4 linked regions of the Diceros bicornis minor genome follow. The protein of the gene in region 2 purifies or fractionates together with the protein of the main gene of each other region. This does not show direct contact. Links are inferred from orthologs where the notes say so. Each region holds a gene or a part of one and is shown on either strand. Other genes may lie near its edges. The genes, in order: CHUK, FKBP5, AKT1 and IKBKG.

Region 1 (7,623 bases), on a different chromosome or scaffold from region 2:
CCTACTCTGTGAAGGCCTTCCTTACTCTACCTTTTCAAAAAGAATGTTCCATGGAAAGTTTATACATGTCTGGCCAAAAAAAAAAGAGTTCTATGTTTAAAAAAATGATAATATTCTGGAGATGGACAGTGGTGATGGTCGCACAACAATGTGAATGTACCCAACACCACAGAACTGTACCCTTAAAAATGGTTAAAACGGTAAATGTTAAGTTACGTGTATTTTACCACAATTTTAAAAATTGGAAAATACTAAGTTAATTTCTTTACTACAGGACTTCTCAGGGCTTTTAATATGCTACATGGGTTATGAATCTCCAAATGAAGAAATATTATATGCAGCATTTACCCAATGTATTTGACCATAGTATCCTTTTATCAAAGCATTTCATGGGATTTGTTTTTCCAAACACACTTTGAGAAGTGCTACCCTGTTCCCTAGGAAGACTTCTTTGGTTATTTTGCCATTCTTCCATGTCACTTTACAAATAACTTGGTTATACAGGTTATCACACTGTACTTAAAGTGCTTCTGTGTCTCCCTCACCCACTACACTTGAAATCGCCTTAAGGCCAGAAAATACTGTTTTTGTTGATTTGGGCACTATCAGCACCCAGCACAGTAATCAGCTAAATAAACCAGCTCACGTCCTTTTCTCTTCCTCATTGTGCTTTAAGAAGCGTAAATGAAACACTGGGACGTGGCTTCCATCAAAACACAAAGAGCTTGAAAGCTGTAAATGCAAACCCTAAGTCAGGCTTGGAAAAGGAATGATGCTGTTCCCAAGCCTTATAACAGAGTATTTCTTCTCTTCTCACTACAGGCTCAGTTGTCAAATGTCCCAGTTTGGAGGAAGGGCCACTCGACAACTGGAAAGTTCCTGAGAGATTTCTAAGATTCTAGAGGAACCCAAATCTCTTCCATTTAAAAAATGATGAATTCCACAGAGACAGAAAGTAGAACAGTGGTTGCCAGAGGCTGGGGGAGGAGGAAATGAAAAGTTATTGTTTAATGGGTACAGACCGTCAGTTTGGGAAGATGAAAAAGTTCTGGAAATGGATGGTGGTGATGGTTGCAAAACAATGTGAATGTACTTAAATGCCACAGACTATACACTTAAAAATGGTTAAAATGGTAAATTTTATGATATATATACTTTACCACATTTAACAAAAAAGTGATGTATTCATCCATCTCCAGCCAGAGGCCAAGAAAAGCAGTCACAAAAGCATGCCAGCATGCATACTTTTTTTCTTATGACCAGGCTGATGGGCAGGCTTAGATAACAAGACCACAGGCAACATTCCGCTACAACTACTTGGCTCCCTCTCTTTTCTCTTTGAGTGCCTTACATCCTCTCTGATGGTGAGAATTATTAAATTTACTACTTGTCTGCCTGTCAAAGTACTTAATGCCTTAGTCCTTCACCTTCCATTCCCCCTCTCTCCAAAATTTCCTCCTATGCTCTATCTAGAAACCTGTTTCACAAAATTTCTTCAGTGATATTCGTCTTTGTAACTGCCAAACATACCTATTCCTCCCAGGTAGACTGCCATATCCCCTACCTCCCACCCTATATTATGGTCTCTCTACCCACACCCATATTCCTTAAGTCAGCAAATGATGTTTTTCCCTCTTGAATTCATTTCTCCATTCACAGGCCAATTGCAAACACTTTAGTAATATCTTAAACTGCTCATTTTGTCCCATATGTTTTTCCATTTGGATTTATCTTTTACAAAAAATCTTCCTAGAACACTACTTTTATCTTGTTTCCTTTTTTAAGCCCAATTAATGATGAAGAAGATGATAACAGCAACAATACAGCAGTAGCAGGAGCTAACATTTGAGGGCTTACCATGGGCAAGCTACTGTTCTTAGCTTTACATACATTATTATGTTATTTAATTCCCGAACAGACCCAAGATGTATATTAATCACATTAATATAACCATTTTACAGATGACAAAACAAAGACTATACTGCAGGGATTATTAGTCCAAGGTCTATACATCTAAAAGGTCTGTGAAAGTCCTTCAAGAGAGCATGAACCCCCTCAAATGACAATGCATAAGGTTGTGAGGATGTGCATCTGTGCATTTTTATGGGGAAAGGGTTCACAGCTTTTATTGGTATATCAAAAGACACAGAGCTCAAATATGATTATTAACTGCTGCTTTAACAATGGTTAAATGTTCTCAATTAAATCAAAGCAAAATTCCGGAGTCTGATGTTAGGTGTCTTCACTGATTAGAGCACCTCACCCCGATCTATCTTCTTTCCTTGTGAAATCATTATCATTGTCACCAGCTGATCCTCATGCTGTTCCCTACCTGGAACGCATCGCCAACTCCAAAGCCCACCCAGTGCTTCCAAAAGCTTAGCTGTGGACTCACCGTAAAACCTTCCTTGTCTACCCCAGCCCCTACTGATAATACGACCTCCAAGCACACACACACATTGCAACAGGCAGCCCCCCCTCTTCACCCATTCGTGCTCACACATACACACTCTGATGTGCATCTGCCTCACACTCCCTGACACTCTCCATATTCAGAGAGTGACATACGTAATGTCACACTCAGTAAACACTTCGTCACACCTTGACACTCATACCAAGAGCTCCCCCTAACAGCTCTATCTCAAACACACTGACCCAGACCTCAGATACAACCTCGGACTCAGTCACCAGGCTCACAAGCACAATCCGTCTGTCTGTCTCTCTCTCTCTCACACACACACACAGTGGCCCACAATACTGCCCAAGATCTCCCCGACAATCTCTCACATACTGACAATCACTGTGTTCCACAGACGCTCTGACAAACACCCACGGCCGCTCCCTCGCGCGCCCCGCCTCACCCGATGCTGGTATAGGCAGACGTTCCCGAAGCCACCGGTGCCCAGCCGCTCCCGCATCTCCCAGGGCCCGCCCGCGCCCGGCCGCAGCCCCGGGGGCCGCTCCATGGGGCGGGAGGGCAAGCGGCCTCAAGCTTCGCCACCGTTCCCAGGCCGGTTCCGGGCCGCCACAGCTCCCGCGTCTGTCTTCTCGCGAGATGTATGCGTCACTTCCGGTAACTGCTGGAGGAAAAGCCCGCCCCAAGTTCTCCAGGGGCGCCGCAGGAGCCCTGCAGGTGAGAGAATCGTGTGAGGAGAGTGGCGTTTTCTGCCCGCTCTCTAAGTCCCCTGTGCATTTTCCTGGCTGAGAGAACCAGCCCTGTTCCCTCATGTGTTTTTCTGGTCTTCAAGAATATAAGATCTCTCCAGACCCTACATTCCCTTCAAATCACTTTCCAAACCAGTCTCTCCAGTATTCGTCTTTTCTAGACTTTACATCGTCCCCACCCCTACCTACACTTCACCTTTCAGACTTCTGCCGTCTATCCTCCAACCTCATCACCCGCTGAGCTGGCACTGGCAAAGGCCACCAATGATTTAAATATTGAGGAATGCGAAGAACTAGAAAGAATCCTGCGCTAACAGGCCCACTGATGCATTAGCTTTCATAGTTCACTTTTTTTTCCCTTAATGATTAATCATCTTGCATAGACGAGTCAGGCTCAGCTCTTCTTTTGCTTGACTTCCTATACACCTGTTCCAGGATCTCACCTGTATGTAACCAAATGACTCAAGGATGTGACGCTGTTCCAGAGTAAAGAATGTTCCTCCTGACTTCGGGAGTTTCTCCCTAAATTCCTCACGGAGCTTGCGGTCAAATAGTCCTCCAGTTATGGGGTTTGCCGGTGCGGTAGTTATTCATTGTGGGGATTGTTTCTGATGCGTGATACAGGGCTACAGAGGCAAGCTTGGGAAATACTGTTGCTGCAACAAGAAGTGCTTCTGAGTGCCAGATTGCCCTAGCCTAGAGAAACCAGCTCCCGCTTTTCTGCTTTTCGCTTTGAGTGTCAGACGCTACATGGAACTTGGGGATTTCATCAATCGCTCCAGGTGTAACAATCAGCTAGAATCAAAATCTCTGATGAAATGTGTCAGCTGCCATAAGCACAGTCATTTGAGCCTCCTTTGAGATCATGTGCACTTGGACTATCATTTGCACAGCCTGGCCTGTTAACTCAGTACTTAGAATTCCAACCAACGTTTTGTGACACATGGTTGTGCCATGACAGATGTAACATGCTCAGATGTCTGAAGGTGGATATGGCACGTACACCACAGCACGCCATCAAAGCTAACTGCTTTGAAAGCACTGAATCAGCCTTTGGCAAAGCAAATGTGTCTGCTGTCACCAGAATCCCTGAACAGTTCAACCAGAATGTAGAGCACTGCATCATACAAACCAAGTCATGTTGTAGGTTGTCAGTAATGTGTGCTCAGTATCAGAGATTCTGATTTCACATAGGTGCTTGGTAGCCATGGAGTTGGAGTATCAGACTTTGAGGTGATGGCAAATAGTCTAAGAACATGTCCCTTAAAGCTGGGCATACTGCACAGATTGTGGTGCAGATTGTCCTAATAGTATGAAGCCCTCTTGTTTGTTAGATGTACAGCATAGCTAGCAATGGAGCATGTCTGATCTCCACAGGTGGGGCTGAAATCTAATTCTCACTTGGAAGAGCTAGGGAAGGATGCTGAGGACTTGAGGATACTGATGATTGGGCTGATGCTGAAGTAGCTGTCCTTGCAGGAAGTGGGTTGTTTCCCCTAGTTCACTCTTTAGACATCCCCATACTCAAGGTCACTGTGTAGCTTTTTTTTTTAAAAATCCAGGGCCAGTTGACCTCAGGCTCAACGATCTTCAAGTTTGCCATTCTTGGTTTTTTCATGTGTAAAATGGAGGTAATACCTACCTCATAAACGTTTTGTGAGGATTAAGTGAAAAAGTGTCTGTGTCATAAGTGCCCATTATATAGCAGCAAATCTCTTTCTTTTGGCTTCTAAGATACGGCATTCTCCTGTGAGCTTTCTCTCCAGTCCTTCATGTACTTGATGGATCATTCTATTTCCAAGCACTGCTTAAATACTGATATTTCTCAGGTAGTCATCTTCAGCTTAGGACTGTATTCACCCTTGTTTTCATCCATTCTCATAATCTCACCTATGGCCTATACCCTGATGATCCCTAAAGCCCTATCACCAACCCAGATCTCCATGTGTTTAGAACTATCTAACAGCACACGAAAACTCAACATATCCAGAGCAGAACTCATCTTTTCTTAAATCTGCCCCTTCTCTTCTCAATTAAACTGCAAACTCTGGGACAACAGGGACCATGTTGGAACATGGCTATACTCCTAGAGCCTAGAAAAATGCCTGGCATATAGGAGAGTTAAGTATTTGCTGAAGGACTGAATGAGCTCTTTTATATAAATAAGATGAATGCTATAAGAGAAAAACGGCAAAGGCCTTGGGGTGCTCCAGCTGCACCTTGCTCAAGGAGAAGCCACCTGTGAGATCCTGGGATAACAGCTGGGCCTAAGGCCCCGCCCCTCCTTTTACACACACATACTATTTCATTTCAATGGTTACAGGTAACATGAACACAAGATACTTTCCCCACCCAGGGAAAAGCATTTGGATTTTATTTGATAGTTTAAATGTTTTTGAAAATGTTGATAAACACAAGCTGTACTTGGAGCTGGATGACAGACATAGGATTATCATCCTAGAATGTGATTTTTTCCAAAAAAATATTCAATCTGAGGCTTCTTGCTGCAGGCAGCTTCCATGGGAATGCACAAAAAAGAGGCAGGGAAACAGTCCCCATGGGAGACTGCAGTTTCTTAAAAAAACAGACTGCTACTGTTTCCTGTCAAGTTCATAAAGTGTTTTGCCCTTTGCTTAGTCATCCAGAGTGAAGTCAAAGGGCTCAAAGTCTTTCCGGAAGCAGCGAGCCAGGGTCTCCTCCTCTTCCTTGCTGATCTGACACTGCCTCCAGTCAGACTTGTCAGGAATATTAAGGATGGCTTCACTGGCCAAGACCTCCCTGCAGAAAGAACACAAAGAAGTCAAAATGGACAGTATCAGCCCAAAATCCCCTCCCACCCATTCCTCTCCTGCCATCACCCCAAGAAGGTATGCAAATTCCTCTGACTTTGCTCATACCATTCTCTTGCCCTGAGTGCCATCTCTGCCAAAATCATACCCATTTGACCAGCTCAGGTCCTATCTCTTTCCTAACCCCTCAAACCCAATTTTCTCGCTCTCTCTTGAACAACTCAGAACTTATTGGTACTCAGGGAAGTAACACGGCATAGTAGAGGCCAGAGGGCAGACCCTGGTGTCAGAAAGATCAGAGACCGAATTCCATCCCTAGCTCTGCCACGTGCTGTCTATGACTTGAACAGATTACTCCACCTCCAAATCTTGATTTCCTTACCTATGAAATGCAAAATAAGGTTTTGTGAGGTATACAGATAACACAATCAAAGCACCAAACTAGCTGTGATTACATCCTGCCTTAAAATGGAGCTTTGTCACCAACTAGACCATGGGTTTGCTGAGGTCATGGTACACAGTCAGGCGCCACTCTGACTTAAAATTCTTCTACCTCTCCTTCTAGGAGACTCAGGCCTACATAGGCATAACAACACAAGCTCAGTGTCAACAAAACAACTTATCTTGGCTCTCAGAACTAAAGAATAACTACATACAGACACAGAGACAGACACATACATGCAAGCTACCTTCTAATTGCCACTGCTTTATATTTTTATTTATTTGTACTTATTTTGATATATTAAAAATAACTCTATCTGCACATCTACATGGTTCATTTTCCACTTTGAAGCTACAATAAATGGAAAAGTTGAAAACAAAACACACGAGTCTTCTAAAAGTCACAGCACCTGAGCTCAAGTTCTAGCTCACTGGGCAAAACTTGAGCCTACTTCTTCATCCATAAAATGAAGATAGAACCCCCTTTCTTGTACAGTGGGGAAAAAATGTCTTTTCAAGTATTTCAAAAAATACTTTTTAAGTATTTTGTTAACTATAAAATACTGTATAACTATAAATTAGTATTTTAAAAAATACTCAATGTTGAGCACAAAATCATTCAGAGAATCTCTCTTTTGTGGGCTTATGTGCCAGTGTGTATCTGCGATCATGTGCCTACGTCATCACTGTCCACATCTGCACCTATTGCTGAGGCAACAACAAAAAGATAATGTCAGATTTTTGAAGCTCCTAATACACTTGTTCTCATTTATCAATTATCTTTTTGAAAATGTAGACAACTGGACTTATCCAATGGTGGCAATCTCTTGGGAGGCTTTCCAAATTAGTTGAAGAAGGGTTCAAGGTTGCTTCAAAGCTCAGTTCTAACTGGGGAAAAAAACAGCTGCAAATCACAGACACAGCATCATATAATCTGTTCTGCCCATTTTTAACTCTCCTCCACACTATTATCTCTTTTTGCTAGTAACTTCCTGTCTTCAGTCTTTGCCTAATTTATACCACTCTCTGTATGGTTTCGTAGTCATGTTCTGCCTGATATGAAGAGCAGAAATGAAGCCTTATCCAGACCTTTAGGATACTGCAGAATAACGAGGTTAAGACTTCACGTTTTGGGATCCAACAGGCCTGGGTTTGAACCTACTACTTTGTGACCATGGACAAACTACCTAACCCCTCTAGAGCCATGCTGTCCACTATAGGAGCCACT
Region 2 (7,129 bases):
AATGTACATATTTAATTGTTCAGCATTAAATAATTACAAAATTAAGTGTGCCAAAATATGTACAACATAGATTCTTCTTTAGGAATTGTGAAAAATTATAGTAAAGGCTTATAGAGGATATTCTTAATGCCAGGTATAACATGCATATTACTGTTATAAAGTATTATTAATGTCTAACAGTGTCATTTGATTTATTCTCAAATTTGGCTGTTTTAACATAGGTCCTTGTTTTTTGTGGCTTTATTCATTCAAAAATATTTGCCCATCCTCAAACTCAAAAGGAGCCACGCCTGAGAGTAACTGACTTAAAAACGCTCCCATTGTTTATTGTGTAGAAGAATTCAACTTATGCTTAATTTTGAAACTGAAATGTGGTTGATAATTTTATGATATGGTCTACCACAAATTAAAGTGGACAAAAAATTAGTAATTAAAATATCTAAAAATTGAATTTGAAAACGGGCTTTTAATTAAAAGGCACTTTTATAGTTAAAGCTCCTAAAACATGCTTTTGTGCAAATAAAACTATGAAATATAACTTTAATTTATGATATGTAGTATATTTAAGCATTATCATAGGATAAAGATTATAAAACGTCTAATTACACACAGTAGCTAAACTAATATATTCCTATACACTTTAAAGTGCAATTATATAAATCATCCAAAACAATGAGAGCCCCACTCTTATAAGATTGCTTACAACTATTTATATAGAATAAACCCATTCTACATGAGGACGAGTCACTGTTCAACCAATCTACCCTCACTAAGCATCAAAAAGCCAATACAGCTTTTTAATAGCAATAACCTCTTCTACAGCTATAGAAAGAGGATGTTCTTTCTTCTCTAGACTAATTTGTTCTAAACTAAGAAACATTTTAGGAAACTAGCCTATAATATGCATTCTTTTCCAATCCAAGAATAAACTGAAAATTGAAGATTTAACTAGCTGCCGAATCCAATATTTTAAGTTTTTCATGTTGAACTGGTTAAAATTATGTTTTAAAAAATAAATTAACCCAAAATTCCCATAACTGAAAAAAAGATTCAGAAACATACTTGTTTTGTTAAAAGTTAGAAAGACAAAGAACTCATAACATACAGGCCTGTTGTTTTAGAGAAATAAAACATTTTATAAAGACCATCTCTATTTTTTTTAAATCTCAAATAGTCACAACTAGCCTATTGGTTAAAGAGTTCACCTTTAAATAGTGTTACTAATTAGCTAGGTAAATAAGTAAAATTACCATTCAATGAAATATTAATAAAGTAGCATTTAGATCAAAATTACAACTTTGTTCTTAAGAAGTTAAACTTAACATCTCAAGTATAAATCATACCCAATACAGATATCCAACGAGACACATAATAGGAAAAAAAACGAGTAAGCTAAATCAAGTGTTTCTCACAAATGATGACTCTTATTAACCCTCATTTAAAAAATATTTTTAAAAAACATATTGATAAACTGGTCAGGGCCTAAAGTGGTCAAGGCCATAATTGTAGATTGTTAAGCGGAGGTCAGTTGGGAGACAGAAAATAAGTGAAAGTATGACAAATAAAAATTTCCCCCAAGAATAAGAAGTTCTTCAAGGCTATCCTTGAATTTTGATTGGAACACCAAGAGAAAAAGCCACTATAATTCTCTAAAGTAAGAACTCTTGGTGGGGGAGCTCGGCAGAACTCCCACAGACTACAAAAATACTTAACCAAAATATGCCTTCACTTTTCCCTCGTCCACAATCTAACAAAATGAGAAGACAATGAAAATAAACACTCCTGTCTACCCTCCCAGAGGCAAAGAAAGCTCCCATTCAATGCTAAGCCTTATTCCACTGGAAAACATACTCCTGAAAAGTAAATCCAAAACCACGAGCTCAAACTGCTTCATGCAGAATTTACTGAATGGCGGCCAAACGCTGTACACTCTGTCCTGAACCACACTGAGGATATCTAGACTTCTGCATTCTCCATTTACAACTTGTACCTTCCCAGGCTTTCGCCACCACTGCAGAACCCGAGTTTTTAAACGAGACTACAAGATTCCCCCTGGCTCGTGCATCGAAAGAAGGCAACCCACACGCTGACCCCCCAAATGGTTTTTCATCGATACTGGGTTTGACGCCTCTACAGTCGCCAGAACACCTTTTTAGACTCAATGAGGCGTCAGAACGCCCCAGGAGGGAAATGGACAAGGAGCCCTGAAACAACTTTTCACTGGCTTTCACCTGGCTCTAGAGTATCACCTGTCAGAAGAGCGCTGCCCCGGCACCCTCCAAGAGCGGCCGAGAGCGGGATGCTGTTCCCACTCACTCGTCCCAGGGCGGCAGGTGAAGGCGGGCCGCGCGCATCCACCCCCGCCGCCCGGGGAGCGCAAAGCGAAAGCCGAGGCGCCGGCCGCGGGACCCTTCGAGATCCTCACCCTGCACAGGCCCCGCCAGGTGAGCGCGGCTCCATCGCGCCCCGCTCGCTGCGCCCGCCGCCCGGGCCCCGGAAGGCGAAGTTGCTCTCCCGCCCGCGCCGGCTGCTGCTCACGCGCCGCCCAGCTCTCCGCGGGTCCCGCCGCCGGCTCCCGCCTCGGGCGAGTCGGGCCGGGACCTGTCACCCCGGGCGGGAAACAAAAGCCGGGTGAGGACGGGCGGGCGGGCCCGGCCTCGCCTCCCCGAGGGGAACGCGGCGGGGCGGGAGCGGCTCCCGGAGGAGCCCCGGCCCCGCGCCTGCCCCGCGTTGGGGCTGGGGGCCTCCGGCGCGCCGGCCTCGAGGCTCCGCCGGCCGCGCGCGCCGCTCCCGGGCCGGGGAGCCGCGTGAGGGAGCGGGGAGGCGGCCGGACCGCGACGGAGGGAATTCGGCTCCCGGGGCGCCGCGGTCGCCCGCCCCATCCCTGCGGCCATGGCGCCGGTACCTGCCGCCGCGCTCGCCCGTCGTCTCCGTCTCTCTCCGCCTCACTCGCACGCCGCTCGCCCCTCAGCCCGCCCAGCAGGCCGCCCGCGCGCCGGACGCCGCCGCCCGAGACTGGCAGCGCCCAAGAGCCGGCCCGAATCCCCCGGGCAGCGCCCGGCGCCGGCCCGCCCCCGCCGGCCGCAGGACCCGCCTTCCATAGGGCCCCGGGGCTGTCAGTCCGCCCCCAAAAGGCGCGCGGGCTGCCGCTCTGCCTGTCCGGATTGGTGGCCGCGCGCCGTCCATGCAAATGAGGTCCCGCCCCCGTCCATTTGCACCTCCGCCTTAGTGTAACCTCCGCCTCTCCGCACCAGCCCACGTGTCTGGCCGTCGCCCTTTGTGGAGGCCGGAGTGGAGGGGTGGAGGAAAGCGACCGGCACCCCCTCACACCGGCCCTTACCTCTAGAGAAACGAACACCTAAACAAGCTAGTTGACTTCACATCTGAATCGTCTCTCTGAAAGCTCTGACCTCCTATCGGTCCAGCCGCCTGCCAGGAGGATGGAGAGGGGCAGGCTTGGCTGTTTGTGTCAGGTAAACAGGCCAGGTTAACCCCAGGAAACAACCCCAGGAAGTCAAAGATGCCCAGTCGAAACTGGGGAAAATCCCATCTCAGAACCGATTTAGCACAGAGCACTTCTCTCTGGACACTGGGAGCCTGGGAAGAATATGCTTTCCCGTGGCTTTTTACCTTTCAAACATGAGATTCCAGGCGATTGGGACGGCAGAGGACCTTGAAAAATGTGTGTTCTCTGCCCCCGTCCCCTAAAAGGTCGCCTGCTGAGCAAACTCAGCTTCAAGAGGGGCACAGGCCTCTCCAACCAGATGGCCACCTTTGAATCGCTCCCATAGAGATTCAGATAAGGGGACTGAACTAGCTGCACCTGGGCCTTAGGGAATACCTAGCTCAATCCCCTCGTTTTTGAGGAAACAGAAGCCTGTAGTCCGTTAGCTATGGGACTTAATAGTTACCTATGGAAACCTAATGTCTCATAGCCAGATGACAAGCCGCATTTCCTAGCTCCAAATCTACTCTCTGCACTATATTACGGTGAAGAGTCTCTTCTACAAATCAACAGTCCTGCCTTCAAGAGGTAGGGTCTGCAGAAGAGACAACTAGAGCCAACACTGAAACCTCCTCAAGGGCAAGAGCCCTGTCTCAGGGCCTAGAAGCTTTCCTTTTTACCAGCTGCCAGGGAGAGTCGCTCAAACCACTTATGTATGCGTTAATTCAGAAAGATGACTAAAACGCCTCTGCATACCAACACCAATTGATTAAGCATCTACTATGCTTAATAACAGCAAGTATTAAGCATTGTGCTATGTGAAGAGAATACAGAGGTGAGCAGAAATTATCCCAGCCCTTGACGCCTGAGAGACAGTGACATCCACATTACATGTCAGTGCTCCTCATGTTACAAGGACTGTGACAGATGTCTGCAGAGGGCATAGTGGAGGGCTCCACAGAGGGAGGAATCGGCTCTTCCTGAGAGAGGCAGGGAAGGCTTTATTGAAGCGGTGACACTAGAGCTAAGTCTTACAAGATGGACTCTTAAAAGATGGTGTTTGCCAGACAGAGGGATGTGGAAGAGGGAGGAAAGGGGCTCCTGGGCAGGGAGGGATAAGCATGAGCAAAAAGCATGCAGACCTGGAAAAGCCTAGTAACTGAGGGAACAGTGAGGAGCAGTGTGGGCAAATCTGCAGGGCCATGTGGCCATGTCACATGCTCTGAGACCAGGCTCTCCCAGGAGGAAGACAGAAAGGCCCGGGAGGCTGCCAGGCTGTGTTGTAACACACCGCGGCAAACAACAACAGGCCCTGTAGATACAGCTGCAGGCTTTTTTTTCTAGGCCAGAGTCTGTGGGGAACAGTCAGTTCCACAGTTCCGATGGCAGCCTGGCTGGCCCCACCCACTATCTCAGAAAACCACTCCGGTCACTCACTTGCCCTCCTTGGCATTTGGAAACACGTGTGCTTGCATTTTCCCTAAACATTGCTGCCCTTCAGAACTCAAAGATAACGTGGGCTCTGGCTGCAGACACCTGGGTGTGGGATGAGCAGCCCTTTCCTAATGCACAGAGCAGTTCTTGGCAGGGCCTGTTACCAAAGCTGGCTTCATGGGCATGTGACCTGTGCTTGGTTTAATGCTCTGCTGTCACCATCTTGAAATTCTTAAAAATTTTTCAGTGAGGGGCTCTGAATTTCCACTGTGTGTTGGGACCTGCAAATTAGGTAGCCAGTCCTCCCTGTTGCTGTTAGTTGCCCCTGGGAATGCTTGTGATTCTGCTCAAACCATATCTCATTCTAAAGCAGTTGGCATTCACTAGATTTGTTCACGTTCATCTTGTCATTTGGTTCTCACAGTGGCAATGTGGGGTAGGTCAGTATTACTAGTTCCATTTATTAGCTGAGAAAACTGAGGTTTGGCACCCTTCTCCCGGTGGCCCAGCTAGAAAGTAGCAGAGCTTGTACTTGAACTCAGCCTACCCAAGCCCTATTCCATCCACTATGGAGCTACCTCTGTGTTGGTTTCAGAATCCTTTCACAAGCAGATTTGTACATGAAGGATGTACTGTTTTAATAAGAGTCAGAACACATAGTGGAGGGATATATGTCATTTCATGGCTGCCTATCACCTTTTGAATAGTTTTTCATCAATTTTTAAAAATTCTCAACCATTATATGTTCAAATACTGTTTCTGTACCTTTTCCTCTTTCCTTCTGGGCCATCAATTGAAACACGTATTAGACTTCCTCACTACATCTCTTTCTTCTTTATTTTCTATCTTTTGTCCTTCCATGCTTCATTCTAAAAGTTTAGTCCAACTATTTTTCAGTTCACTAATTCTCTCTTCAGCTTTTTAAAAAATTCTCCTCTTGGGGCTGGCCGGATGGCATAGTGGTTAAGTTTGCACACTACACTTTGGTGGCCTGGGGTTCGTGGGTTAGGGTCCCAGGTGCAGACCTACACACTGCTCACAAGCCATGCTGTGGTGGCATCCCACATACAAAATAGAGGAAGATTGGCACAAACGTTAGCTCAGTGACAATTTTCCTCAAGCAAAATGAGGAAGATTGGCAACAGATGTTAACTCAGAGCCAGTCTTCCTCACTGGAAAAAAAAAATGTTCCTCTTAAACGCATCCATGGAGCTCTTAAATTTGGTTATTCTTTTTTTTTTTTTTTTTTTTAGTTCTAGAATTTCTATTTGGTTCTTTTTCAGACATTCTGTGTCCCTTCCCTTCTTATATCTCTTAGTGCCTTGCTATAATTTTCAAGCTTGGCTTTTCTCTCCATAGTAAGTATAGTTGTTTTACAGTCTGTGTCTGTTAATTCCAATCTGCAGTCCCTGTGGGTCCACTTCCGTTGTCAGTTTTTACTACTGGTTCTTCCTCATGTTGTTGTATCTCCTCAGGTATCTGGCTGTGTTTTGGATGTTGTATTTGAAAGATCATTTGAGGCAACGATGATAATATCTTCCTCTGGAAAGGACTTCCATTTGTTTTAGCAGGCGTCTGGGGACACCAGCAAGCTAGGATCACCTTAACCCAATTTCAGGACTCGGTTTTCTGAGCCTCCCAGATGCCTTGAGGCTGGACTACAGTCTGTGGGAGATTCTGTTTATTTATGGTCCCCCTTTCCTCAATGCTGCAGTTCTTTGAGGTCCCAGGCGAAGATGGGAAGTTGTTTTAGTTGTATATTGCTCCATAGCAAACTATCCCCAAAGTTAGCAGTTTAAAACAGATGTCAGCGGAATTTTTCTTAAAGGGCCAGATGGTAAATGTTTTAGGCTTGCAGGCCATATGGTCTCTGTCACAACTACTCAACTCTGTCATTATAGCACAAAGCAGCCACAGACGATACGTAAATGAATGACATAGCTGTATTCCAATAAAACTTTATTTACAAAAACAGGCAGCCATCCTCAACCTGATAAAACCCCACATCTAGTATCTATGTGGGTTTCATAGAAACCCACATAGTTTTTCATAGAAAAACCCACAACTAGTATCATACTTAATGATAAAAGAATGGATACTTTCCCCAGGAAACAAGACAGGGATGTCCAATCTTGCCACTTCTATTTAATATAGTACTGGAGGTTCTAGCCAGGGCAATTAGGCAAGAAATAGAAATTAAAAGGCATCCAGATTTGAAAGGAAGAAGTAAAACTATTTCTATTCACAGAT
Region 3 (6,939 bases), on a different chromosome or scaffold from region 2:
GATGGGGGGTCGCCACCCAGGAATCCTGTTCAAGCCTGGTGGGTTGGGGGCCTGAGGAGCGGCCAGAGGGCCTGGGGCCCACCACAGTCTGTGTGGGAAGGAAAGCCACATTCTTACACTAAAAAATTATGCCTTGTTTATCTGAAGTTCAAATTTGACTGTGTCCTGTATTTTTATTTCCTAAATCCGGCAACTTCAATGTGGAACTCTGGACTCACGCTGCACTGAGCCACTGAGACGGCCCTGGCTCCATTGCCCTTCACCTCGGGGACCCTTCTGAGGAGGGTCAACCCCCTCCCTCCACCCCCTCACCCAGCCCACAGCAGGAGGAGCTGACTTCCAGTCCAGTCAGAGGGAACCCAGATGGAACTGCCTGTGGCTTCTCGCCTGTGTAGAGTCCTGCCCCTGCCCCCTCCCGACCTCAGGCGTGACCCTTAGCCTCTTCGAACCTTAATATCCTCATCTGCAGAAAGGCAGATTCAGGGCAGGGCCTGGCTCACAGCAGGACCTCAGGCTCCTCCTCTGAAGGCCTTCCCTGGCTCCTCCATTCCTGTCTCTGTTCCAGCAGCACCCCAAGAGTGGTCTTTCCTGACCACCCCACCGAGGTCCCCCCAAGCCCACGTTCTCCTCTCCTCGTCCTTCTCCAGAGCACTCCCCGTGCCGTGTGACTGTGCTCTCTCTCGGCTCCCCCGATGTATTCTCGGGGCTAAGAAGCTGTCGGGGCACAAAGTGGGGTTCAGGAAAGGTCTCTTGAGTGAATGCATGGCGGTGGCTTCCGTGAGGGATGTTCCCTAGGTGCTGCCATCTGAATTCTGACTGCTCTGTGGTGCCACAATGCCCAGTGTGGCCTCCCCAGGCCCGGCCTTGAGCATGCGGAGGCAGGGAGGGGAGGCTGGCCTTGCTGGGGCTCTGGACGGACAGCTCCCCACACAGGCCGCAGGCCGGGAGGAGGCCCCCGGGGTGGGCAGAGTGCCCTGGCCTGCCCTGCCTGGCTGGTGGGACGAAGTGCTCCTTGGGGGCCAGACAGAGGCTGAAGCAAATTAGGACGCTGCCTGTAAGAGCCTGGGGTTGGGCCTGGGAGGCCGGCCCAGGTAGGGATGGGCTAGAGGAGGGACGTCACTCGGGGAGGGGAGAGTGGGAGAGAGGCCCCTGAGTCTCTCAGGTCGGAAGGTCTGAGTAGGTCCCCCTGTCCTGATACCCCCCACCCTGAGGAGGGGCTGTCTCAGGCAGCCCGGAGATGGTACTCAGGAGCCGGCCGCCCCTTGGCCCTTGGATCCTCTCTCCGGCCCTGTGCAGTCCCAGTCACAGGGATGACAGGAGGTTGTCGCAGTGGTGCGGGCAGAGGCTTCCCAGACGCAGCTGGCCAGGCGGCCATCTGGCCTGGGAGCTGCCCCCAGGCCCCGCCCTGCAGCTGCTGCTGAGACTAGGCAGCCCGGGCACCGGCCCACCAGTCCTGCTAGAAGGCTGGCAGCTGCAGAAGGTGACAGGCCCGGAGGCTCTTGTGCTCTGGGAGGGGCAGGCGGCCACCCTCCTCAGGGGCAGTGTAGCAATTTTTGTTGGAAACATCTGGCCAAGGGGCATCTCAGCGGCCCCAGCAGCGGCCAGCATGGGCTGGCAAGCTTGGTCCTCTCCTTGCCATTCTGTCTGGGGGTTGGGAAGGGGGTGTTCTTGAGGAGAGGGGCTCTGCTTTCCCTGCCGGAGGCCAGAGGCGGAGGGGGCTAGCCCTGCCTTCAGGGATACCCCAGTCACAGGGCAGGGGCATGCCAAGGTGCAGACAGGACTGGGCACTGCATGGAATGGGGTGTGGGGCACACAGCAGGTCACGCACAGTGGGGGCTGGCCCAGAGCGCCGTGCAGAACAGGCAGGGAGACCTCCTGGAGACGGGCCTGGAGGTTTGGGACCACTGCGATGCAGCCTCCCAGCCAAGATGCGGTTCCTCAAATGGCCAGCAGGCCCCAGAGCACCTGGGGAGCTGCCACATGTTCCACAAGACGGCGCCCTCCCGGCCCCTCAGTGGCCACTGGCTGCCACCCTGCCGGGTTCTCCTCTGGTCCTCCACCTCCTCCATAGCACTGTCAGTTCAGGATGGGGGGTGGGCACGGAAACCCTTCCTGGGAGAGCAGTGGGTAGGTGGGATGGTCCCAGGGGGCCCCAGGGGGAAGGTGTGCAGGGTGAGCGATGGACAGACATTGGACATCAGGGGCTGACCCTCAGGTCAGGCATCTGGCCCCAGCGGCACGGTCGGGGCCTCTCACTGGGCCCCCTGGAGGCACGGCCCTGCCTGGAGGTACACAGTCAGAGCTGGGACAGCTGCGCTGCAGTGGGAGGGTGGGGGGCAGCAGTGCCAAGGGGAGAGGCCGGGAACTGGGAGTCCCCTCCTCAAGGAGCCAGTGTCCCCTGAGCAGGAGAGAGTGTCCTTCTCTGAGGAGCGTCCTTCTTCAGGTCAGCCCCAAGAGGCAAGGATGGAGCCCCAGTGTTGGCTGTAGATGCCGTCCTGGACACTCAGCTGGGCTGCACCTGCCTCTGACCCAGATGAAGTGTCCACGCCCCCTCAGGTTGAACTCTGACCCTGGATGAAGAACAAAAATGCCCCCCCCAACACATACCAACCTCAGGAAGGTAACTTACAGGAGTCTTCCTTTCACAAAAGGATAACTATCAACTGGGAGGCCTCAGGGTTGGGGGGAGGGGCAGCTGTTGGAGAAACTAGTGGCTCTAGCCAAGGGCCAGGGCCCAGGGAGGGGTCACGGGTGGGAAGTTGTCTGCAGATCCTGGGGATCTGTAGGAGGAGGGGGTGAAGTCTCTCTGCCTCCCTGGCCCTTAGATGCCTGCCAGTGGACTGTGGGTGCCCAGGGCCCATTTGCACAGCAGGGAGGGTCCTGGCGGCCTCAGCTGGCACAGCCCTTCTCCTGAGTCTGCTCCCCCTCAGCTCCCCCTGCTGTGTGTCTGTGCCCAGCCCCGGTGGGCACCTCAGGCCAGGTGTGCTGCATGAAGCCGGGTGCCACATGCATGCCCCTCCACTGGTCCCTGCAGCCCTCACTGTCACCACGTGAAGTCCCCATCCACTTTTATAGGGCCATATGTCACATCTTTCTGGGGAGGGGAGCTCCTGGAAGACTCCCCGGAGGGATTGAGGGCCCAGCCCAGGGCCAGGCCCATGGCAGGCCTTCAGCACAGAGATGGACGACCGAGTCCCGTAGCCTGCCCTCTCCTGTCCACGGTCCAGCCAGCCTTCCAGGCCCACCTCAGACCTGACTTCGCCCCCCAGCCTCTGGCATGCCCTCAGGGACCAGCACTCTGCGCTCACCTGGCAGGGCCCTTGGGTTGGTCTTTTAGGAGAATCTTGGCTGCTCCCTCCCCCCCACCAGCATGTGGCTACCCACTTGGAGCACCTTCTGAAAGTCAAACTAACCTGCCCCCTCCTATCCCCCCAGTGGAAGCAGAAGCCCAGGATTCGGCCCAGATCGGCCCTTTTAATAGGGTCGTGGCAGAACTGGGCCGAGAAGCGCAGGCTCCCTGGACAAACCGGGCAACTGAGGCCAGAGGGGACGTGGTCTGGGCCCGGCCCCAGCGGCGGGCAGTGGCCCGGCTCCGTTAGCGGGCCCGGCCCCGGCCCCGGCCCCGAGAGCCGCCCGCCGCGCGCTCCCGGCGCCGCGCCCTCGCCCCGGCCCGCGGTGGGGGCGCCCGGGGCGGCGGAGGCGGATGTGGGCGGGCGGCCGGGCGGGGCGGGCGCGGGGCGGGGAGAGGGCGGGCCGGCGGCGGCGGCACCGAGCGCGGCGGGCGGGCGGGCGGCCGGCCCAGCGCAGCCAGCGCAGCCAGCGCAGCCGGAGGACGCGAGCCGGCGGCCGCGCGCAGCACCGGCCCCGAGGCGCGCGAGGCCCGCCGAGCAGCCCGCCGCCGCCGCCTCCAGCCCGGCCCCGCCCGCCCGGCCCGGCCCGGCCCGCGGGGATGCGGAGCGGCGGGCGCCGGAGGCCGCGGCCCGGCTAGGCCCGCGCTCGCGCCCGGACGCGGCGCCCGGTGAGTCCCCGCCCGCCGCCGCCGCCGCCGGGGCCCGGATTTCCTCCCCGCGCCCGGCCGCTTTGTTCCCGGCCGGCGGGGCCGGGGCGCGGGCCGCGCGCAGCCGGAATGAGGAGCGGGAGCAGGAAGTGGCCGAGCGCGGCCTGGGCGGGGAGGGCGCGGGCCGGGCCGGCGCCGGGGGTGCGGGCCGCCGGCCCCGGCTCCCTCATGACCTTGGGGAAGCGGCTCCGCCGGGCGAGGCCTGGGCTGGGGCGGAGGGGCGCGGCCCGGCGCCGGGGGCCGCGAGCTGGGGCGCCCCTGCTGCCCGGGGCTCCCCGGGCGCCTGGCCAGCGCGGCCGCGGCGCCCAGTAGGCGCCCAGGGTCCTTAGGAAAAGGCTCGCCCCAGCCCTCCTTGAAGTTTGTGGGTGGGCCCTGGGAAGGAGACCTCATTTTCCCATGGCCAGAAAGTTGTACATGGTGGCGAGGTGCCCAGGCCAGCCCACAAAGGACTGCTCACCCTCCTGGGCCCCCAAACTGCTTCCTGACCTGGGAGGGCCGTGGAGGTGCTGCCTAGCCATCCCGGAGCTGGGGCCCGGAGGGCGGCGGGGCCTGCCCCCCGGAGTGGGGGGTCCAGGGCAGGTTTGCCGGCGGGCCGGACTGTTCCCAATTACTGCCATGGTGGACAGAGTGGGGGGCGTGGGCTGTGCTCTGTGGCCAGAGGGCCCCCTACATTCCCTCCTGCCGCCCCGCCTTGCTCCAGGCCCCTCCTTGCTGTTCTTGAGCCCTTCATCCAAGTGAAGGGCGGGTTGTTTTGATGGGGGCTTGATTCCCTGCCCCCGAGCTGACCATACAGTTCACAAGTCAGTGTTTTTGGGGGGGGGGGACCCTTTCACAGCACAGATTGTTTTTTTCACAAGTTGTGGCTTAAATAATAATAGCAGTCGTACATGTTGATGGTAAAGGCACTCACAGTACAGAAGTAGCGGGAAACAGAGGTCCCCTCCATCCCGCCGGCCCTGTGCCCAGAGGTGGCCCAGGCACTGGGCTGGTGTGTACATTTCTGTGCAGACGTACACCACCCTATGTGTGTGCACAGATATATTTTTACACACGGGGCTCTCAACAGCTGTCTGACTCGGTCAGCAGCAGGCCCTGCTCAGACCGGGGTGGGGGTGGGGGGATGTCCAGAGGTCTTTGAGTCCAGCCCCCTGCCCCCAGGCCACGCCCACTCAAGTATCACCAGAGCCCCCTGTCCCCGGGGCTCAGAGCCCTCTCCTCTGCGGTATCTTCGGGGCTCACTTGCTGCCCATCGCTGCCCCTGGGCGTGCTGAGCATGTCAGCCACTTTCTTCTTTGGGCCAAGTGTGTCTTCCCTGTCCTGGCACCAGACGCAAGGCAGTGGGGTCTTCTGCCCTTCTAAAGTCAGCCTAAGAGTGCAAAGCGGCCCTCTGGGTGCCCAGCCCCTGCCTCAGGAGGCCAGTAAGGAGGGCTTCAGGAGGGTGTCTAGGCGGCTGTAGAAAGACCCAGGTTGGGATCCATTCTAGAGGTCCTCAGGGGTCTCTGCCTGGCCTGGATGTCCCAGAGAGGAGTCTCTTTGGGCCTGCCCTTAGGAGTGCCCGTCTGGAGGGGTAGCAGAGGACTGCTCATGGGAAGAAGGCTTTTTCCCAGGATGCCCAGAATGGGTAATGTGGGAACTGGGTTTTGAGGGATGCCTAGGAGTTCGTACAGCAGGGGAGCAATGGGGAGGGCTGTGCAGGATCAATGGCCAAAGTGTCTGCTCAGGTGAGGGCTGGCTGGTGGGCCACTGCAGGGTGGGTGCCAGTACCACTGCGCTGCTGCAGTGCCACCCCCCATTTTTGGCCTCGTGAATGCTGTAATTATGGGTCTGTAACCACCCTGGACTGGGTGCTCCTTACAGACAGGACCCGTCTGAGCCTCTCTTTGTCCCCCGCGCCCAGCCCTGAGCCTGGCAAAACCAGAGATGCCCGGTACGTGTTGGCCGATGAATGAACCAGATTCAGACCGGCAGGGGCGCTGTGGTTTAGGAGGGGCCTGGGGTTTCTTAGGGGAGGGGTTTCGTGTCCCCCTGGAGGGCTCTGGCTCTCATCTGCGCCAGCTGCCTGCGCTGCTGGCCCTGCCTTCTTTGTGTTTGAATTTCTCTCCTTTCCCAGTCTGGGGCAGGGAGGAGGAGCCAGGGCCCTGCCCCAGGAACCCCAGCCCGTGGGTGGGAGTACCACAGACAGAGAAAACAGGGGCACCCTCTCCAGGGACTTGGGGATGCTGAGGGGCGTGGGCCGAAGCAGTCAGAGGGGCTGCCTGGAGGAGGCGGCTGCTGCTGTGCTGGCAGGTTAGGGAGGCTGGGATCTGCTGGGAGGGCCTCTTGGGGATGGGAGTGTATAAAGTCCAGGGGAGGTGGGAATGGGGGAGGTGGGGGGGGGCAGTGAGCTCTGAGGGCCTGGGGGTCCAGGAGGGGTGATGGCAGGGGCCTTGATGCCCAGGTCGAGGAGAGGCCCTGGCCCAGGGAGCAGTTTGAGTAACGGGAACTTCATGTCAAGTGCCATGGCGGGAAGAAGGCGATGGGACGGCTGTGCTCTGAAGGCTAAGAGGTGGGCAGGCCAAGGGGGAAGGGAGACCCAGGCTGAGACCCCGGGTACGATGGGCCTCCTGGGCTGCCTGCAGGGCCAGAGGAGCGGCCTCCAGCCGGACACAGCCTCACACACTTCCTTTGCTTCTTCCAGAGGCACGGGCTGGGCTCGGGGAGACCCTGCTGAGAGAGGAGCGGGAGTGAGACCTGGGCCGCCCGGCCAGCCGGAGCCCGGGCACCATGAACGACGTGGCCATCGTGAAGGAGGGCTGGCTGCACAAACGAGGTGAGTGGCCGCGGGGCTGGGCCTGGGGTGGGGGCCCCGGAGCCGGCCAGCATGCCACCCTCAGGTGGCGGCT
Region 4 (7,630 bases), on a different chromosome or scaffold from region 2:
AACCTTATTTGGATAAACGGTCTTTGGAGATGTAATTAAATGAGGATCTTGAGATGAGATCATCCTGGAGTAGGGTGGGCCCTAAATGCAATGACAAGTGTCCTCATAAGAGATGGAAGAGGAGATCCAGACACAGAGGAGAAGGCCACGTGAAAACAGAGGCAGATACTGGAGGGATGTGGCCACAAGCCGAGGAACACCTGGGGCCCCCAGAAGCTGGAAGAGGCAGGAAGGGTCCTCCCTTAGAGCCTCCAGAGGGAGCACAGCTCTGCCAACACCTTGATTTCAAACTTCTGGCCTCAAGCACTGGGAAAGGAGAAATTTCTATTGTTTTAAGCCCCCAGCTTGTGGTCATCTCTTACAGCAGCCCTAAGAAATTAATAGATCTAGTCAGAGGGGCTTTGAAGAGACCACGCAGAATCTGATCAGTGTTCCCTGGAACTGGGGGGCCGAAGGGGACATCTAGTATCTGACATGTGCTAAGTAATCTGAAAGTGAGAGCTGGCCTCGCAGACTAAGACAGCAGAGCAGAGAGACAGGCTGTTTGCGTTCTCTTCTGAACTAGAATAGAGGCAGCCCACGTGGGACAGCACCAGCCTAGAGCCCTTTTAAATCCTGCCCAAGAAGACTGACTACCTGGAGGAGGTGGACAATCCAAATACAAGTTTCCAGGAGCAGGCCTGAGCTGAGGAAGGAGACTTTGAACACTGAATAAACTTGGACGTTTGACTATGACACTGATCCTCAACACCCCACTAACCCATCAGCAGTATTTAACCAACCACTGACCCCTCCCTCAGCTTACAGAACAGCCCACTCTCCTGGTTTTCCTCCTACTTCACTGGCTGCTCCTGCAGTGGATCCTCCTCATCAACACATCCCTTCACGTTGTGGTGCTCCAGGGCTCTGTTCTGGGATCTCTTCTCTAACTACAGTCACTCCAGGACTAATTCCATCCAGCCTCACAGCTTTAACCCCCATTCTAATGCTCTTGATGCCCTAAAATTAGACCTGTTTCCTGGACTCCAGACTCACGTATCAGACTCAACATCTCCACCTGGGCATCTAGTAGTCCTCTTAAAACTAACCTTTTCAACACTGCACTCCTGCGAGTCCCCCAAAGCCAGGACCACCCACAGCCTACCTTACTGTCAGCTGGTGGCCAATCCATCCTCCAGTTATCAGGACAAAAACCTCGGAGTCCTTCTTGACTCCTCCCTCCCTCCCTCCGTCCATCCCCCTCTCCCTCTCTCCCTCTCTCCCTCTCTCCCTCTCTCTCTCAGCTCACATCTAATCCATCAGGAAATCCTGTCAAAATGTATCCCAGGGGCCAGCCCCATGGCTTAGCGGTTAAGTGCGTGCACTCCGCTGCTGGGCTGCTGGCAGCCCAGGTTCAGATCCCGGCGGCGCACCAACGCACCGCTTCTCCGGCCATGCTGAGGCCGAGTCCCACATGCAGCAACTAGAAGGATATGCAGCTATGACATGCAACTATCTACTGGGGATTTGGGGGGAAAAATAAAGTTTAAAAAAAATGTTAAAATGTATCCCAGAATCTATTTGATGACACTAAACAATTAATGTTAACTATTTCAGGTGTGAGAGTGGTATTTTAGCTATGATTTTTTAAATATTTTCTTAGAGATGCATACTGAAACACTGTCAGGTGGTGTCTGAAATTCACTTCAAAATAATGGGGGAACTCCTAGGTATCTATGCAAAAGAAATGAAAACACATGTCTACACATGAATGCTCACAGCAGCGTTACTCATAACAGCCAAAGAGTGGAAACAACCCAAATGTCCATCAACTGAGGAATAAACAAAATCTACTACATTCACATGGACAAACATTGCAGAGAGAAACAATTCACAAAAGACCACACAGTGTGTAATTCCATTTATATGAAATGTCCAGAATAGGAAAATTATCTATAGAGACAGAAAGATTAGTGGATGCTTAGAGCTGGGGGAGACAGGGTGATGTGGGTGATAGCCACAGGGTACGGAGTTTCTTTTTAGAGTGATGAAAATGTTCTGGAATTAGTAGTGATGGTTGCACAACTCCGTGAATACACTAAAAACCAGTGAATTGTACACTTTAAATGGGTGAATTGTGTGGTATGTGAATTATATCTCAATAAAATTGTTATTGAAAAGAATAATGGGAGACAATTGTGAGGGATATAAATTAAAATTAGCCATGAGTTGGTAACTGTTGAAGCCCGGAGGTGGTTCCACGGGATTTACCATACTAGTCTTTCTACTTTTGTGCATCTTTGTAAATTTTCATAATAAAATGCTCAAAGCACCATCAACTCTCACCTGGATTACTGCAATAACCTCTTAACAGATCACCCTGCTCCTATCCTTGCCTACTACAGTCTGTTCTCCCCACCGAGGCCAGAACAATAAGCCTAAAAAGTAATTACGATCACGTCCCTCCTCTACTCAGATCCATACCATGGTTCCTCATTGTCCTCCATGTAAAAGCCAGTCTCTTTGACGGCCTACAAGGCCCTGCACCATCTGGTCCCCCACTGCTTCCTCTCCAAGTATTCTCCCCTTGCTCACTCTGCTCCAGCTTTTCCTCCAATGTGCCACGACGGCCCATTCATCCTCAAATCACAGAAATGGTATGAGATTCGGTAGACATTAATCGTTTTGCAAAGTGAGCAAACTGAGGCACATGAGGTAAGATACTTAGCTGCCAAACTATATTTGAGGTCTTTCTAAAGAACTTAACAACCTCAAATACAGTCAAGTTTGATGAACAGAAAATATCTTCGAACTAGAAGAGTCACCCACGAAATAGGGGTGTGATCAGACTCCACAGCGGCGGTGGAGGGAGAGGCAGGAACAGTCCTGCTCACCGCCAAAGAAACCTGATCCTGCATCGCCCCGCCTTGGCCGGTGCTCTAGATGCGGGTGGCAGAAATGGGCGGGGGCCCAAAAGGAGAGAAAAGCCTGGACGTCCGGGAGAGTCTCAGAGGCGGTGGAACGCCCAGTGATGGTACCCTGCCTTCGGGGAAGAGGACCACACCTGTCAGCAGAATCGGTCCGACGTGAGATGGACAGAAGCGACAGGCCACGAGCGCTCCTCGGGCCCCGTCCCTCCGAGAAAGTCCCAGTTCCGCGGTCGCCTTTCCCTCCTCCCGCTGCCGAAATCCCCACTTCCTGCTTCCGGTGTCGTACTGTGGGATCCGGAAGTAAAACAGGGAAGCCCCGCCCCCGCCCAGGAGGCCCGCGAGAAGTACTAGGGAGGCTGCTCCAGAGGGAAGCCCGAGCCCACCAGTCTCGGTCGGCCTGCAGGAGGCTCCCCAGTGATATCCACCACCTGCTACTTTTCGGGGCGTCACGACCCACACTGCCCCTTGTCCCTCGGTCTACAGCATCCAGCCTCCGCGTGCTCGGCTGCCTCGGCCCCGCAAGGGGAGGAGCCACGACGAGGCTGCCCAACAGGGCCGGTCTGACCGAGCGGGCGACCGTCCGGTGAGAGGGCGGGGCTCAGATGGCCCCGCCTATAGCCTGGGTCAAGGAGGCGTGGCCACGCTGCCAGCGGAAGTGGAGCCTTCCGCGAGGGTGTAGGGCCGCCTGGGGCCTGCGAGAAAGCCGGCCTGTAGGGGCGGGGCTGAGCCGAGCCGGTGATGGGGACTCGGGCGAACGGCGCGGAGCTGCACGCGGAACCGCGACGCATCCGGGACGCGGCTCAGCGGCGGCGGGTACAGCAGGCGGCCCGCGGCCGGGCGGCCGGTGCAGGTGCCCAAGAGGCGGGGCGAGCCAAGGGCGGGGGGGCCTCGCGCGGGGGCCAGCCTGGGATGCGCGCGCACTTGCCTGCTCCCTCACCGGGCCCCGCCCCTGGAGGGAGGGGCCTGTGGGGGCACCGCCCGCGCGCCTCGCCTGAGGCGGGTCGGCTGAGACCAGGCGCCCGCCCCCGCTGATTAAGTGGGCCGGCGGGGCACAGCCCCCGGAAACGGCTGAAACTCCGGGGCTGCGAGTGCGACGGGCGGCGGCGGTAAGGTGCAGGTAAGGGAGTGGGCGGGCGCCGCGCCGGCGGAGGGAGGGATGTGCGGCACCTTAGGCCCTTTGATTTGCCATGCTTGGGAGCGGGGGCAAAACCGAGACGGCCTTAACCGATCCCACTGCCCCCCCTGCATCCCTGCCGTTGGAACCCTGAGGAGACTGAGATCTCGAGAGGACTTGCCAGGGTCTCAGCCTGGCAGAAAGAGAGCTGGAGCTGCACTCCATCATCTGCACGGTCTAACATGCTCCAGCTCATTGTGGAGTTTCTGCCTGAGTCCGGGGTGCGATGGACCTAGGCAGGTCATGCGATGTCCAGCAGGGTTTTGCTTGGTCCCTCAGAATTGAGGCTCTAGCTGGAATCCACTAGGGCTTTGGGCAATTTTGTATTGTACACCGTGAAAGAAGGCTGCTTGGGGAGTATGGCTGAAGCCCAGAGCCAGCAGTTTCTTACTTCCCAACCATCCTGCTCCCTGGCCATTCACAGCGAGTGGTTTCAATAATCAGGCGTCAGCTGGGTGAGAGCCCAAACGACTCCTCGAGAAAGGGGCTATCTTCTCAATGCTCTGATGTTCTTGTGCCTTGTCAATGAGCCTTTCTTCCACCAGAGAGCATCATGGCAGAACAGGTGGCCCTGAGCCGGACCCAGGTGTGCGGGATCCTGCGGGAAGAGCTGTACCAAGGTGATGCCTTCCATCAGTCCGATACACATATCTTCATCATCATGGGTGCATCGGTGAGTCTCCCCGAGGACCATCATCTTAAAACCCACACTTAGAGCATGACATTGCTTAAGGTCCCTTCCTGCTCAATGCCTGGGCTTTCCCAACTGACTGTTGTTGGGCCACGTGGGCTCTGCTTGGTTGGGCTCTCCGTCTTGCTCCTGCCTGTGTGCCACTATCATCCCAGCACCATACGGTATATACACGTTAGGAGGCATTTCCGAAGTCCACGCACAGCCATTGACTATATACATTAATAGGACAGCCATTGACTGTCCTGGAGCCCGGAAGTCCTTCTCCACGGAGAACACTGAAATGCAAACAGGGAGCCTAGTCATTCTGTGAGTGTTTTTCTCAAACCTGTTTGTGACTTGACAGATGTCACACAGTGAGTTAGTTCCAGAGGCAGGTTCTGAGGCCCGATCTCCACCTTGTCTTTCTCTACCACATCAAGTTCCCTGGGGACAAACACTCGACCTTTCTTTGAGCATTGTCTCTTTGCCCCATTTTGCTCTGATAGAGTAGAAGCACAGTGACGGTTTGTGATGGCAAGTGGGCACAGGAGAGGGAGAGTGGGTCCTAGTCAAGCCATGACCCTCAGACTAAAGCACTTCCCGGCGTACCGTGTGGAAACGAGATTTGCCAGGTGGCCAGACATGTGCAGGGGCTGCTGAGATGAGCTGCCAGGGTTTCATCTTGAAGAAAAGTGGTTTCTTCTCACTTTTAACCCTGGACATGACCAAGAACCTGCTAACCATTGTATAATCACCTCTGCCAGTAACTTACTGTGTAATCTTGAGCAAGAGTTCCACCAAAGTTAGAGAGTTCTTGACAGGGCAGGTCTTATCTCTCTGTGCCTACCACAGCACAGTCCCTTCAGCTCTGGAGGAACTTGGTTCTTTGTTCATATATCATAACCTGCCACCACCCTTTGCAGAGTCTACTCCCTGGAAACTTTGGGATTCTGATCCAGACTTGGAAAAGGAGAGCCAGAATGCAGAGCAGGAGGCAGTACAGGGTAGAAGGACTCTGCCAGTAGGAGGGAAGGGAGGGCTGCCCCAAGCAGTGTCTTCTGATGCCCTGTACCCAGGAGGAGCAGACAGGGGACACGCTTGGCCTCTACCCTGGCCTCAGCCGCATCCCCTTGGAGGAGCCATACCTCTGTTGGCCACAGACCTTAACACCTAGGACTCTGACCATTAGGTCCTTTGTCCAAGAAATAGGTTGGTAGAGAAAGTAACTCAGGATTATTTTTCCTCCTTCCCTCGTCTCCATGCCAGCCTATCACAGGATGCTCCTACAGAGCATGCCAGGCCGCAAGAAATGGCGTGTGACTCCAGGCCCTCAACTCTTAAGTGCCCCATTGAGAGCATCCAAGCTTGCTGTGTGACCTAGGGCAAGTGTCTTCCCTTCTCTGAACCTCAGTGTTTCCATAGCAAACCAGGGCTTTTGAAACAAGTGCCGAAGGTCCTCGGGCTCTACCAAGCTGATTCTGTGAGTCCTCACTGCCTTTGCCTGTGGCCAGCTTGGGGTTGGGCAACTTTGTTTCTTTGCAATGAGTAGGGTTTCCCTTTGCTCTCCTTTGCTCTGGAGTGACAACCGGAGGCTTCCAGAGCAGAAATGGGAAGTGCTGCTCCAGCAGGGTCGAGTGGGGGAGAGCAAGGGTTCTCTGAAGAAGAGCCTCCTTGTTTGTTTTTCCCTTCTACTCCAGGGGGCTGGAGAGGGTGGGCCGCCCACGCTCAGGCAGCACCTAGAACAGCTCCCACAGTCTGGCCTCCACTGCCTCACTGTCTCCTTCGTCTGGGTAGGAGGTGGGCAGAGTAGTGCTGGGGGCGCACTCTACCAGAACCTGCTGCTATGGGAGACCAGTGAGGTCTCTCTTCCTCCATCCAACAAATGCTGACCAAGTGCCTCCCCTGCAGCACAGCGAGCATGGGCCCTGCCCTCTTCTTGGGGCCTCTGTGGTGGGGGCCAGGACCTAAGGTGAGTTAGCCTAAGAAGAGTTCAGAGTGGAGCATGTGACAGAAGACGCAGACAGGATCCTGTGTCCCCAGCCCCCCAGCACACAGGTCTCATGAAGAGGGCCTGCAGAGAGGCCTGCAGAGCCAAGGCCGGCGGGGAGCACACCACACAAAGGGAAGAGCAGACACAGAGCCCCAAGTGGGGCAGGCTGGGCCCACGTGGCCATTCTCTGCCCCTTCCTCCTCCTCTTCCACTTACCCAACCCTCAGCGGCACGCCCAGCTTCCTTCCTCAGGGCCTCCTGATGCTGGCTCACAGAGTTACCCAATGGGCTTTGAGCTGCTCTCTGTTCCCCCTGCTATGTGGCCACTTCCGCCCTCCTTAGGACTCCCACCCCCAGCCAGGAAGGGAGTGGAGGTACTTACTATCCTAGTCCAGAAAGCCTTGGAATGAAGGAAACCGGTTTCTCCTTACAGACCAGCATGGGGGGAGGAACCTTGGGCCTGGCAGATCATGTCCTCCCCCATCTGATAGGACTCGACCAGCGGGCTCAGCGATTCTCCCCACCTCAGGGAGTGGAGAGAGGAATAGGAGTGAGAGAAAGAGAGACCAGGACTGGGAGTCCACTGGGCAGGATTGACTCCCTGCAGGGTCCGCAGTGAGCCCCTCGCCTCTCTGGGCTTCAGTCTCCCCACTTGGGCCACAAGGGCTATGGGCTCGATGGGTGCTCAGGCCCTCCCTCTCCTCCGGACGTTTCTGGGCTGCCTTCCCCCTTGGGCTGATAAGATTCTTGCTGTGTCATGATGACATTGGCACTCCCCCAAAGGCCTGGTGATTCGTAAGCCCCAGGGTGTAGGAGGGAGGCCCTTTTCTTGGTTTTACACCCGAGCCTACCTCAGCAGACCCTAGGTTCTCTCGGTCCAGTGG

The links.
Region 1: the proteins of FKBP5 (region 2) and CHUK purify together in Homo sapiens (co-immunoprecipitation; 4 studies listed by BioGRID and IntAct, with this or other methods). This does not show direct contact. The link is inferred for Diceros bicornis minor from reciprocal best matches to the Homo sapiens genes FKBP5 and CHUK.
Region 3: the proteins of FKBP5 (region 2) and AKT1 purify together in Homo sapiens (affinity purification with western blotting; 3 studies listed by BioGRID, with this or other methods). This does not show direct contact. The link is inferred for Diceros bicornis minor from reciprocal best matches to the Homo sapiens genes FKBP5 and AKT1.
Region 4: the proteins of FKBP5 (region 2) and IKBKG purify together in Homo sapiens (affinity purification with mass spectrometry; 3 studies listed by BioGRID and IntAct, with this or other methods). This does not show direct contact. The link is inferred for Diceros bicornis minor from reciprocal best matches to the Homo sapiens genes FKBP5 and IKBKG.

What each region holds. Positions count from the first base shown.
Region 1 is NC_080745.1:65,541,884-65,549,506, forward strand, and holds the start of CHUK (inhibitor of nuclear factor kappa-B kinase subunit alpha), read right to left. Parts: upstream 3,006-7,623; 5' UTR 2,967-3,005; coding exon 2,862-2,966; intron 1-2,861. Other genes in the region: CWF19L1 (CWF19-like protein 1), read right to left, coding at 5,799-5,943.
Region 2 is NC_080753.1:29,091,529-29,098,657, reverse strand, and holds the start of FKBP5 (peptidyl-prolyl cis-trans isomerase FKBP5), read right to left. Parts: upstream 3,006-7,129; 5' UTR 2,906-3,005; intron 2,575-2,905; exon of another isoform or gene 2,426-2,574; intron 1-2,425. UniProt on the Homo sapiens protein: Immunophilin protein with PPIase and co-chaperone activities. Component of unligated steroid receptors heterocomplexes through interaction with heat-shock protein 90 (HSP90).
Region 3 is NC_080763.1:49,324,946-49,331,884, reverse strand, and holds the start of AKT1 (RAC-alpha serine/threonine-protein kinase), read left to right. Parts: upstream 1-3,927; 5' UTR 3,928-4,018; intron 4,019-6,734; 5' UTR 6,735-6,820; coding exon 6,821-6,866; intron 6,867-6,939. UniProt on the Homo sapiens protein: AKT1 is one of 3 closely related serine/threonine-protein kinases (AKT1, AKT2 and AKT3) called the AKT kinase, and which regulate many processes including metabolism, proliferation, cell survival, growth and angiogenesis.
Region 4 is NC_080781.1:138,464,919-138,472,548, reverse strand, and holds the start of IKBKG (NF-kappa-B essential modulator), read right to left. Parts: upstream 3,019-7,630; 5' UTR 2,467-3,018; coding exon 2,464-2,466; intron 1-2,463. Other genes in the region: G6PD (glucose-6-phosphate 1-dehydrogenase), read left to right, coding at 3,648-3,759, 4,629-4,756. UniProt on the Homo sapiens protein: Regulatory subunit of the IKK core complex which phosphorylates inhibitors of NF-kappa-B thus leading to the dissociation of the inhibitor/NF-kappa-B complex and ultimately the degradation of the inhibitor.